2 linked regions of the Caenorhabditis elegans genome follow. The protein of the gene in region 1 interacts with the protein of each later gene in a biochemical or structural test. Each region holds a gene or a part of one and is shown in the gene's direction. Other genes may lie near its edges.

Region 1 (8,371 bases):
CTTAATCTTTATGATATAACAAAGATAGGCTTCTAACTACGTCACGCCTACATATTCAATGAAATTTTGTAGTGCTACTACTATTTGTGCAAGCCGGAATATGAATGTCCTTTCATTTTTTTTCGTCCCAAAAGTATATAAAATATCTCACGATATACTCAGAGATTGGGCAACAAAGTTCAGGAGAACTTTTGATGCACACCGGAAATAAAAGGGCTTCACTGCTTTTTTTGTTGAATTCATATTGGTTTTGGCGGGAAATATTGAATCATTATTGATACTTTTGAAACAGGAATAGACAGTATTTTTCGTACGGAAATTCGATAATTTCCGAAAATGTTCGGTTGCCTCCCTCGCCCCCTTTGAAATTACAGGAGACTAAAATTCGAAGAATGCGTATTACGAAACGTATACGCGCAAAATATCTCATAGCGAAAACTACAGTAATTTTTTAAATTACTACTGTAGCGCTTGTGTCGATTTATGGGCTCGATTAAAATTGAGCAAAAAATTTAGAAAATACTATGCAGGCGCGGAGGAAAATAAAATATCGATATCACTATTCGGAAACAAATTCATTTCAAAAATCGAGCACGTAAATCGACACAAGCGCTACAGTAGCAATTTTTAAAAAAATTACTGTAGTTTTCGCTACGAGATATTTTGCGCGTCAAATTTGCTGCGCAATACGCATTCTCAGAATTTTGCGTTACCGTAATATACACGGTGAAGAACACGAGCCACCAGGAGTACGGTAGCCCTGACTTTAATTGCAAAAAAAGAGAAAACAGTGAAAAAAATCTGTATATAATTGCTATTATTTTTAAATTTCGCAAAAAAAATTAGAAATGACCACATTAATTTTGAATTCCTGCGCGAATGAATTCTATTTTTTGCGTATTCCTGCAATATTTATTGGATTTTCTCTTAGCCTAAAGCCTAAAACGCAGAAATTTCGAAATAATAAATTGACCATTTTTGAATTATTGGTGCAAAATTGAGAAAAATTGTGAAAAATTATACCATTTTTTGAACAATTACGCTCAGCTTACTAATTGTAAGATTACTCAGATTTATGGCAAAACACGATTTTTACGCCTTCAAAAAATCCTAGCTTTTGGCAAAACTTACAGGAAATTAAAAAATTCAGAATAAAAAGTAATAAGATCCAGGAAGCCATGACTCGAATCATTGTAGTTGAACTGTATGAATGATTTGATCCCAGCTTCTTCCGCCACCCTAAACACCCCATAATTTCCGTTTTCCGCTTGAATAGGAAATGTTGTATATTTCTGTACTCCTTCCTGAAGTATTAAAACTCGTTTTCGTTTATTAAACTGTTTCTTTTTTCAGATCACTCAACTTCCTCTTCTCAACGTCAACTTCGACTCGGCTAATTATAATTTTATTTATTTTTCTGATTTTTTTAAAATTCTTGTTTTTTCTCAAATTTCCAATTTCAACATCATCTTATTTTCAAATAAAAATATTTATTTTGCGACTTTCTATTAATTTGAAACAGCGAATATTGTTAATTTATTAAGTAAATTTAATCATTTTAGATCGTTTTCAACCGATTTTCGAGGGCTTTCCACAAATTTTGTACTTTTAAATAAATTTAAAGTTTATTCTACCGAAAACACTATTTATTTTTCCACGTGGACACCGCCAATTTTCTCTGAAAATTCTAAAATTCTGGTTGAAAATTAATTTTTAAAGCTTCCTCACGAGAAAAGCGCCAACGCACGAGGAGCGCGCCAGCAAACCCGCATTGACGCAGTCTCGGTGCACTTCTGAACTCCAAAACACACTGTTCCCGTTCGATTTTTCTCGCATTTTTCATAGTTTTTTTCGAAATTGAAGCTTTTAAAGGTGTTTTAGACTTGATTCGAAGTGAAATATTGATTGATTGAGCCGGAAAATAGGCAAAAAGTTCTGGAAAAACGCGCGAAATTAAAATTCCAGTGACTTTCGAGATAATGATATTGATTTTTCCGAGTAATTAAGTTGATATCCAGCTATTTATTTTTGCGTGACATTCTAATTACCGGATTTTCAAAGTTTTTTCGAAAAAAAAACAAAGCAAAATCGATTTATTTCGAATTACTCGCGACTTCTCAACTTTGAAGCTGAAAATAGTTAGTTTTGTTTTTTCTGTTATCAGTGCGCGCTTTTTCTGCAATAATAACATTCCGCAGTACGATTTTTTCAAATTTTTTGCTTTTCGAGAACGGAAAATCAAGTTTATTTCAGTGTGCACGAAAAACGAGCGAGATTCTGACTTGACCAGTTCGTTCGGAATCGACTCATTTTTGGAGATGAGCGGACGCTCCGGTAATGGTGGACAACAAAAAATGAGAATTCGCCCATTTATGGTAGGTTTACACACACAGATTTTAGTCCTCTATCAAGCCTGTCTCCTTGTTTTGCGTGAAAAATCGATTTTTTTAAAACGAAACTTGGAATGTTACGGCCGAATTATCCGCGATATCCGAACAATCCGTCAATTTCTGATGAGAAACTGATATTTTTCCACTGGCAACTGTATGCCACGTGGCAATCATTTTCAGTTTGCGTGCCACGTGCCAAAACTCGTCATTTCTAAAGAACAAAAGCAAAATATTTTTTTTTCATATAACAAAATCGATTCTGAGGGATTTCTAATGGTCAATAATTGTTTTTGACCGTTTAACCAGGAAAAAACGAAGAGAAAAACTGTAAAATCGTATTTCCGCCGTTTTTTATCGATTTTCTATTTTTTTTCCTATTTGCTTGGACTAGCCATTAGAAACATGAAATTTGTTATAAACGGCAATGTTCTCGCAAAAATGACCTCACATAAGAGTTTTTCGCGTTTTTTTCACGAAAAAAAAACGCATTTTTGATCGAAATTTACCGAATTTCATCCCAAAAAAGTTCCAAAATTTTTGCCAAATTTTGCTAAAATCTGATATTTCGTAAACTTTTCTAGCTGGAAAATCCCTGAGTTTAGCAAATTTTGGCGCTTTTCCGAAAATTTTGAATTCTTATAATGAAATTTTGGAAATTTTTTAATAGTCGGGCCAGTTTTTGGTCATTTAAGGAAAATGCCCAAAATTTAGAAAAGCCGCAAAAAAAAAACGGAGAAAAATGATTTTTTTTCAGGCCACAATAGACGAGCAATATGTGACACAGACATGGGAACTTTTGAAGCGTGCCATACAGGAAATCCAACGCAAAAACAATTCGGGCTTGAGTTTCGAGGAGCTCTACCGCAACGCATATACAATGGTGCTCCACAAGCACGGAGAACGTCTCTATAATGGCCTGAAAGACGTGATTCAGGATCATATGGCGTCGGTTCGAATTCGAATTATCGAATCAATGAATTCTGGAAGCTTCCTGGAGACTGTCGCCGAATCGTGGGCTGATCACACTGTCGCCATGGTCATGATTCGTGATATTCTGATGTATATGGATCGGATCTACGTGGCACAGAATAATCACGTCCTGCCGGTCTATAATCTGGGTCTCGACGCGTATCGGACGGAAATTCTGCGGCAAAACGGGATTGGCGACCGAATTCGCGATGCTCTTCTGGAGCTTATCAAATTGGATCGAAAATCGAATCAAATCAATTGGCACGGAATAAAAAACGCGTGTGATATGCTCATCTCGCTAGGAATCGATAGCCGGACGGTTTATGAGGACGAATTTGAGAGGCCACTTCTGAAGGAGACTAGTGATTACTATCGGGATGTGTGCAAGAATTGGCTTTCTGGCGACAATGACGCGTGCTTCTATCTGGCACAGGTGGAGATTGCGATGCACGACGAGGCGAGCCGAGCGTCGAGATATCTTGACAAAATGACAGAGGCCAAAATCCTGCAGGTGATGGATGATGTGATGGTTGCTGAGCATATTCAGACGATTGTCTACATGCAGAATGGTGGTGTGAAGTTTATGTTGGAGCACAAGAAGATTGAGGATTTGACTCGCATTTTCCGTATTTTCAAACGTATCGGAGATTCGGTGACAGTACCGGGTGGTGGATTGAAGGCGCTGCTTAAGGCGGTTAGCGAGTGAGTTTTTCGCGCGATTTTTTTTTAGAAATTGAATTATTTGGTGATTACAGCCGTGGGAGGAACGTTGTAAAATTAAAATTTGAACAATTTTCACCACAAAAAGGCACTAGCATGGTTATCTGTCGATTTACGAAGCCTGTGTACTCTTCGAGGGGAAATTTTGTTTTTTTACCCCAGAAATTACGGGTTTTTGCTTTAATGCGGAGATTTCAATGATTTTATTTTGTAAAAAATTGAAAATTTCACCCAAAATGGCTCCATGTGTCGGTTTAACCAGCTTTTGTGCTCCTCGAAAATTTATGTATTTGATGGTTAAATCTAGACTTTACTTTGGCACTTTTTTTGAAGAGGATTTTACAGTGTTTAGCTAAAATGCTTAATCGTTCAAATTATTTCTAATTTTAATGGTAAAACACCACCAATGCAAGCATTTCAGCCAGAAACCGTAAAAAATAATCCACGTGGAGTACACGAGTCGCGTAAATCTACACATGGCCGTGTTAGTAGAGGTTTCGCGGCCACGTTTTCGCTTCAAGAAATTTAAATTCCAGCCAATTTACTGTATTTTTATTTATCAAACTCTACTTTTCTGACCTAAACCCGTGTCACTCGCCCGCAGCAATCTGTTTATTTGTTCTGTTGTCCATTACGTCGAACACCGCCGCTTCTCCTTAAAACGCCTCAGCTGTTGGTGGTTTTAGTTTTTAGATAACACCAACCCTAACAGTTGAACACGGAGCATTCAGAAAACTAGAGCAGAATTGGGGGTTGCTCAGCAAGAAAAGTTAACTTTTTTTTCCAGATATCTCAACGAAACCGGCTCGAACATTGTGAAAAATGAGGATCTGCTCAAAAACCCCGTCAATTTTGTCAACGAATTGCTCCAGCTCAAAGACTACTTCTCCAGTCTGCTCACCACTGCGTTTGCCGACGATCGTGACTTTAAGAATCGCTTCCAGCATGATTTCGAGACGTTCCTCAACTCGAATCGCCAATCGCCGGAATTTGTGGCCCTCTACATGGACGATATGCTGCGAAGCGGTCTGAAATGTGTGTCGGACGCCGAAATGGACAATAAGCTCGACAATGTGATGATCTTGTTCCGCTATCTACAGGAGAAGGATGTATTCGAGAAGTATTTCAAGCAATACCTCGCCAAACGTCTCTTGCTCGACAAATCGTGCTCCGACGATGTGGAGAAGGCTCTGCTGGCAAAGCTGAAGACAGAGTGTGGTTGCCAGTTTACTCAGAAGCTTGAGAATATGTTCAGAGACAAGGAGCTTTGGCTGACACTGGCCACAAGCTTCAGAGACTGGCGAGAGGCTCAGCCGACCAAAATGAGCATTGACATATCGCTTAGAGTTTTGACGGCGGGCGTTTGGCCGACGGTTCAGTGTAATCCGGTTGTGTTGCCGCAAGAGTTGTCGGTTGCCTATGAGGTAATTCGAATTTTCAATTGGTTTTGCAATTTTTGAGCTTGATGTTTCACAAAACCCGCAAAAATGTCTGCTTACACGCAGGGTTGTCGTTTTTTGCCAAAAGATGGATTTTTTATACAGAAAAATGTGCATTTTAGAGACAATATATATTTTTTTCGGTTTTTCCAATCAAAAAACAACAAGTATGTTTTTTTTTCAAAATTTAATTTCCAGTCGCGATGAGATGAATTCAAAAAAAAAACGTTTCTTCTAGTTTTTCTGACCAAATACCTAGAAATCCATTTTTCTGCCAGAAAAGCCAAAAAAGATTCCGAATATCTATTATTTTTGCTTGAAATCGCTTTTCACACGCGCACCAGAGACATTCTCATTGGACCGCCACACTTGTGTCGATTTACGAGATTTCTCATGAAATTTTCAGGCCAATTTCAATTTTTCAATAAGTATGTTTCATTTTTGTGGAAAAACTGAAATCTCCGTAAATCGACACAACACGGTGCGCTCCAATGAGAATATCTCTGGCGCGAGTTTAAAAATATTATTGGGTGCGATTAAACGTGCTTTCAAGCTAAAATATAAAACCAGGGCAATTTTTAAAAAAATATTTTTTCACAAAGATTTTTGGAATTTCTTCAATTTCCCCTCGTTTTTCAGATGTTCACACAATACTACACTGAAAAGCACACTGGCCGTAAGCTGACAATCAACACACTTCTCGGAAACGCTGACGTCAAAGCCACATTCTATCCACCACCAAAAGCATCCATGTCAAACGAGGAAAATGGTCCTGGACCGTCGAGCAGTGGAGAGTCGATGAAAGAACGAAAACCGGAGCACAAGATTCTCCAGGTCAATACGCATCAGATGATCATTCTCCTTCAGTTCAACCATCACAATCGGATCTCATGTCAGCAGCTGATGGATGAGCTTAAGATTCCCGAGCGAGAGTTGAAGAGGAATTTGCAGTCGCTGGCTCTCGGAAAAGCGTCGCAGCGGATTTTGGTCAGAAAGAATAAGGGAAAAGATGCGATAGGTATGAAAAGGAAATTATAGTTTTTCGAATTTTTTTGAAAAAAATTGATAATTTGAAAAAAAAATCAATTTCCAATCGCTGCAGCCAACTTTCCCATGGGACATGGGAAAGTTGGCAAAGTTGGGTTTTTTTTGCTAACTAGGGAATGGTGTTACCCCTGCAATCGCTAGGAGGACAAACAAAGTGAAAATGGAAGATCAGATCTATGGCTACAAGAATCAGTTTTTGGAATCTGCTTAACTCGGTCCCAAAGCTGAAATTTTCGGTCTTAAAAAGTAGTCCTTTTTTTGCTCAAAATGCCGTTTTTCGTGTGTAGAAGTGGCTACATAAAAGTTTGGCACTGCAGCCGCCGTTCGAATGGCCGATTGGTGAACTCTTGTGCTCATTAATCTAAAGGTCACGGGTTCGTTCCCCACTAGGTATTAATTTTTTTTTGAATTTTTCCTCTAGCATGAAATATGCACAAAAACACGGTTTCTTCCGTTTTTTGGTAACTTCGGAATAAATTTTTTGGTTCCTGGGAATCATAAAAGTAATTTGGAAACTTTTTGGAAGTTTTCTTTTTTTGATAAATTTTCACTTTTCTCCCACCTGATGTATGCACATTTTTTTCTTCAAAAATAATTTTTCAAAATTTTTTCAAAAAGTGTTTGGTTTGAAAGAGCAGCATTAGTTTGGATATTTCTACGATTTTGGAGGATCAAATGTCATTTTTAGGAGAAAACCACTGTTGTTTTCTCTAGACTTTTTCACGAAAAGGACCTACTTTCAAAGACTTCCAGCTCCGTTGACGAGTAAAATAAAAAAGAGTTGTCAACTGCAAAGTTATTTCAAAAGTACCAATGAACAAATTGTCAGTTGAAGTTACTCTGCTAAATTTTATGGGTAGAGAGATATAGCTAATCGAAGTGAAGCTTTAACTTACTTAATTACTAATGTCCATATCTCTCTACCCATAAAATTTAGCAGAGTAACTTCAACTGACAATTTGTTTATTGGTACTTTTAAAATAACTTTGCAGTTGACAACTCTTTTTTATTTTACTCGTCAACGGAGCTGGAAGTCTTTGAAAGTAGGTCCTTTTCGTGAAAAAGTCTAGAGAAAACAACAGTGGTTTTCTCCTAAAAATGACATTTGATCCTCCAAAATCGTAGAAATATCCAAACTAATGCTGCTCTTTCAAACCAAACACTTTTTGAAAAAATTTTGAAAAATTATTTTTGAAGAAAAAAATGTGCATACATCAGGTGGGAGAAAAGTGAAAATTTATCAAAAAAAGAAAACTTCCAAAAAGTTTCCAAATTACTTTTATGATTCCCAGGAACCAAAAAATTTATTCCGAAGTTACCAAAAAACGGAAGAAACCGTGTTTTTGTGCATATTTCATGCTAGAGGAAAAATTCAAAAAAAAATTAATACCTAGTGGGGAACGAACCCGTGACCTTTAGATTAATGAGCACAAGAGTTCACCAATCGGCCATTCGAACGGCGGCTGCAGTGCCAAACTTTTATGTAGCCACTTCTACACACGAAAAACGGCATTTTGAGCAAAAAAAGGACTACTTTTTAAGACCGAAAATTTCAGCTTTGGGACCGAGTTAAGCAGATTCCAAAAACTGATTCTTGTAGCCATAGATCTGATCTTCCATTTTCACTTTGTTTTGTCCTCCTAGCGATTGCAGGGGTAACACCATTCCCTAGTAAAATTTGCCTTTTTCACGTTTTTGAACTGTTTCATACGGAAATTTATGTTTTTTGGAATATTTTACGTTAACTATTAAAAAAGCACCCAGAAAAATCGATAATTTCAATTTATAATTTTTCCAGACATGAGT
Region 2 (3,339 bases), on another chromosome or scaffold:
ATATTTTTTAAATTTCAGTATTTACTATACTTTTAGCAGGTGAAGCGAGTGGATCTCCAATACGTATCAATCGATGTTTCACCTCTGTATCCTGTTGCTGACCGGTTTGACCACGTGGTTTGGGCTCTACAAAAGCTTCTTTCAATGGTATCTTGTCGCTAACAATCATTGGAGCTGTATAATCAGTTAGAATTGGCGCAATTCGAGATTCATCATCATCGTCATATTCTTCACCTTCTTCATCTTCATATTCTTCCTCGTCCTGACTAATTTCTTCAGAATCACAATTTTCATCTTCAACATGAGACACTTCTTCGTCCTCCGTTGAATCATACTGTTCAGAGTCTCCATCTATCGGAGTAGCTCCTCCATTTGGAACTCGCTTCTCCATTTTGTGGCTTTTGCTCTGTGGCGTAACATTCCATACGTAATCTTGATTCTGAAATTTAAAAAAATTAAATTAGATTACATTCTGATAGATTTGAAACTTTTACCTCTACGTACAGAAATGCAGTAGGATCATTATGAACATGGCGAATAAATGTGTGAAGCTGTCCAGTAGTTGTGATTGGCACGTACAAACCATTGACTGAAAATTGTCTAGCTTTACAAAGAAAAAAATTTATTCAGAAACAAAAGGGACCTCGAATACTGCCTGAAAGCTGCAGTTTCTCAAAATTTGCAAACAACAGTTGAAGTACTTTTCTATCTTTCTATATAAATTTTCGATTAAAACTTCTACAAAACTATGAGAAACTTTAACTTCGAATTTTTGTCTGAAAATTCGCTCCGAAATGGGATTTTTTTGAGAAAATTACCAGAATAATGCAAAGAAACAGTTTCGTCGTTGGAAATTGTAGCCAAATAGTTGTATACATCCTCGTATGTAACTTCCACATTCGAACGATACAACATTCTCTGAAAAGAAATGAATAAATCTTGAACTATCAGATATTTAATTTACTTCTCGAACATAGAAGGTGAACTTTTTCTTTGGAGTTCCAACGTACATGTAGCTGATTGCCTGAAAGGGTTGATTTTAATGTTGTTGGACTCGAAATCTTCAGAAATACTTACGACAATGTGGTCGTTTTTGTTCTTTTGACGTTTTCGCGCATTGCCTGATGATTTAGGCAGTTGTGACATTACCATAGTAGGCATTTCGGCTGAAATTTAGTTTATTAAGTGGAAGCATTAATTTCAATTTATGAAAAGGATAGAGAAATGTCATTTAAGCAAGAAAATCGAAGGCTCTTTGGAACGCTTTATGGAAGAGTGCAAGTTCGGCCACAAGGCCAATGTCTATTTATTTTCTGCTCAATGAGTGCTCATTAATGGGCTTATAATAGTAGTTATGATGGCCGTTATGAATGGTGAAATAATTTATTTAATTTCATGTTTGGGTTTGTGTTTTGTTCTATTTCACCCCAATTTTTTGAGTAATGTAAATATAATTTCTAAATAGTGTTCCGTGATTCATGAATGATATTTTAATTCTCCTATCCACAAATCTGTTTAATTTTCATTATTATATCACATTCGACCAGTAGGAAATATGAAAATCGATAACTAGTGTTTAGGATGAACCTAACTGAACTTCCTAGGAGATCAGAACGCGCAGTATTTGTAAGAAATCGATTTGTTCTTGATACGCTGAGCGCATTTGTTCGAGAAAGGTACTTCATTCGCTTTTCTTTCGTCTTGACGAACGGTGAGCAATTTTCTATCTCATTTCTTGAATTTTTCTTCTTCTTTTCTCAATAATATATTTCATAGCTATGAGAACTTTTAATACTTCAAACAAAATAGATTTCGGACTAAGACTGAAATTAAAAATGAAAATAATATTATAAAAACAAAAATAAATATTAACAAAAAATAACTGCGTAGTAAGCTGCTGCGTCTCTCATATTCTCATGCTCTCTCGTTCGTTCTCGCGTTCCAAATGCGCTCTACCGGACCCCTCTCATCATTCTTCGAATTTTGTTCTTTTTTTCAAGTTTAGAGTTAAATCCATTGTTTTTGAATCACTTTTTATCTGTTAACGCAGTATTTTGAAAATTTTATGTTAATTTTCACCTAATATTCGCTATTTATCGTCTCAGTTTACAGAAAATGCTCATCAAAGTTAAAACCTTGACTGGAAAGGAAATTGAGCTGGACATCGAACCAAATGATCGAGTCGAGAGAATCAAAGAAAAGGTAACATACTTTAACTTCCATTTTAGCTAAATTTTATCTCGAAATATCCAACGAAAATTATTTTGCAGGTCGAAGAAAAAGAAGGAATCCCACCACCCCAACAGCGTCTCATTTTCGCCGGAAAGCAAATGAACGACGACAAGACAGCAGCAGATTACAAGGTTCTCGGTGGATCTGTTCTTCATCTGGTTCTTGCTCTCCGCGGAGGATTTTAAGAAAATGTATTCATATAAAATGTAAACTCCCGTCTGAATTGAGCCCGCTCCAAATAGAAACGAGTCACAGTCCCGAATGTCCCGTTTTTATGTCCAATCTCTCCAACTTTCAATATTTATTGTTACATCAGTTCTTTAAATCATATTCCTCATTTTATTTTCTGTGTTCAAATAAATAATGCATTCTTGATCTCGTGATGCTATTATTTTAAAATTAAAAGCAGTCCTGCCCTGAACGCAACGGCGAAACAATTAGTGCTTCTCATTGACAATTTTCTCCTCATTGAAAAGGAATATTAAAAAAAATCTCGGTAACTCTTAAAAATGTTTTTCATTTATTAGAAAGAAATTGATGAAAATAACACTATGGTAACAAAAAATCCTGAGAATTCGTATTACGCAACAAATGAGTACTGTAGCACTGCTGACGATTTACGGAAATCATTTATTAATCGATAAAATATTAGAATAAAAAAATGAAAAAAATAATACGGAGAAATTCATTTCGAAAATCGAGCCCGTAAATCGACACAAGCGCTACAGTAGTAATTCAAAGAATTACTGTAGTTTTCGCTACGAGATATTTTGCGCGTCAAATATGTTGTTCAATACGCATTCTCAGAATTTCGTGTTCCCGTAATAGATGGGTCTCATCGCGAGCAAAAAAGTTTGGTAACGCTGGTTGTACTTTCTTCTCAATTTTGATTGTCTCAAAATCACAGTTTTTCATTCGAATATGAGCGCAAAAGATTGGAATATATTTATCCGTCACTGGATGTCTTGTTACTCGAATTGTATGCTTCAATATCTTAAGTTTGAACATCCAGACATCAGTGACTTGCCTATTATTATGAATCTACCTAAGCATAAAATTGGACCACAAAAGTTCGAAATAACTCGTATTGATGGAATTAAGGCAGAG

Evidence for each region.
Region 2: of the proteins of cul-3 (region 1) and ned-8, one has a biochemical effect on the other in vitro, tested with the Caenorhabditis elegans proteins (one study listed by BioGRID).

Annotation. Positions count from the first base shown.
Region 1 is NC_003283.11:175,326-183,696, forward strand, and holds the start of cul-3 (Cullin-3), read left to right. Parts: upstream 1-2,253; 5' UTR 2,254-2,318; coding exon 2,319-2,375; intron 2,376-3,144; coding exon 3,145-4,061; intron 4,062-4,866; coding exon 4,867-5,503; intron 5,504-6,157; coding exon 6,158-6,536; intron 6,537-8,363; coding exon 8,364-8,371. UniProt on the Caenorhabditis elegans protein: Probable core component of multiple cullin-RING-based BCB (BTB-CUL3-BTB) E3 ubiquitin-protein ligase complexes which mediate the ubiquitination and subsequent proteasomal degradation of target proteins.
Region 2 is NC_003279.8:10,372,636-10,375,974, reverse strand, and holds ned-8 (Ubiquitin-like protein NEDD8), read left to right. Parts: upstream 1-2,112; 5' UTR 2,113-2,115; coding exon 2,116-2,202; intron 2,203-2,270; coding exon 2,271-2,417; 3' UTR 2,418-2,602; downstream 2,603-3,339. Other genes in the region: hpo-35 (PB1 domain-containing protein), read right to left, coding at 31-439, 495-589, 819-918, 965-1,024, 1,078-1,161. UniProt on the Caenorhabditis elegans protein: Ubiquitin-like protein which plays an important role in cell cycle control and embryogenesis. Covalent attachment to its substrates requires prior activation by the E1 complex uba-3-ula-1 and linkage to the E2 enzyme ubc-12.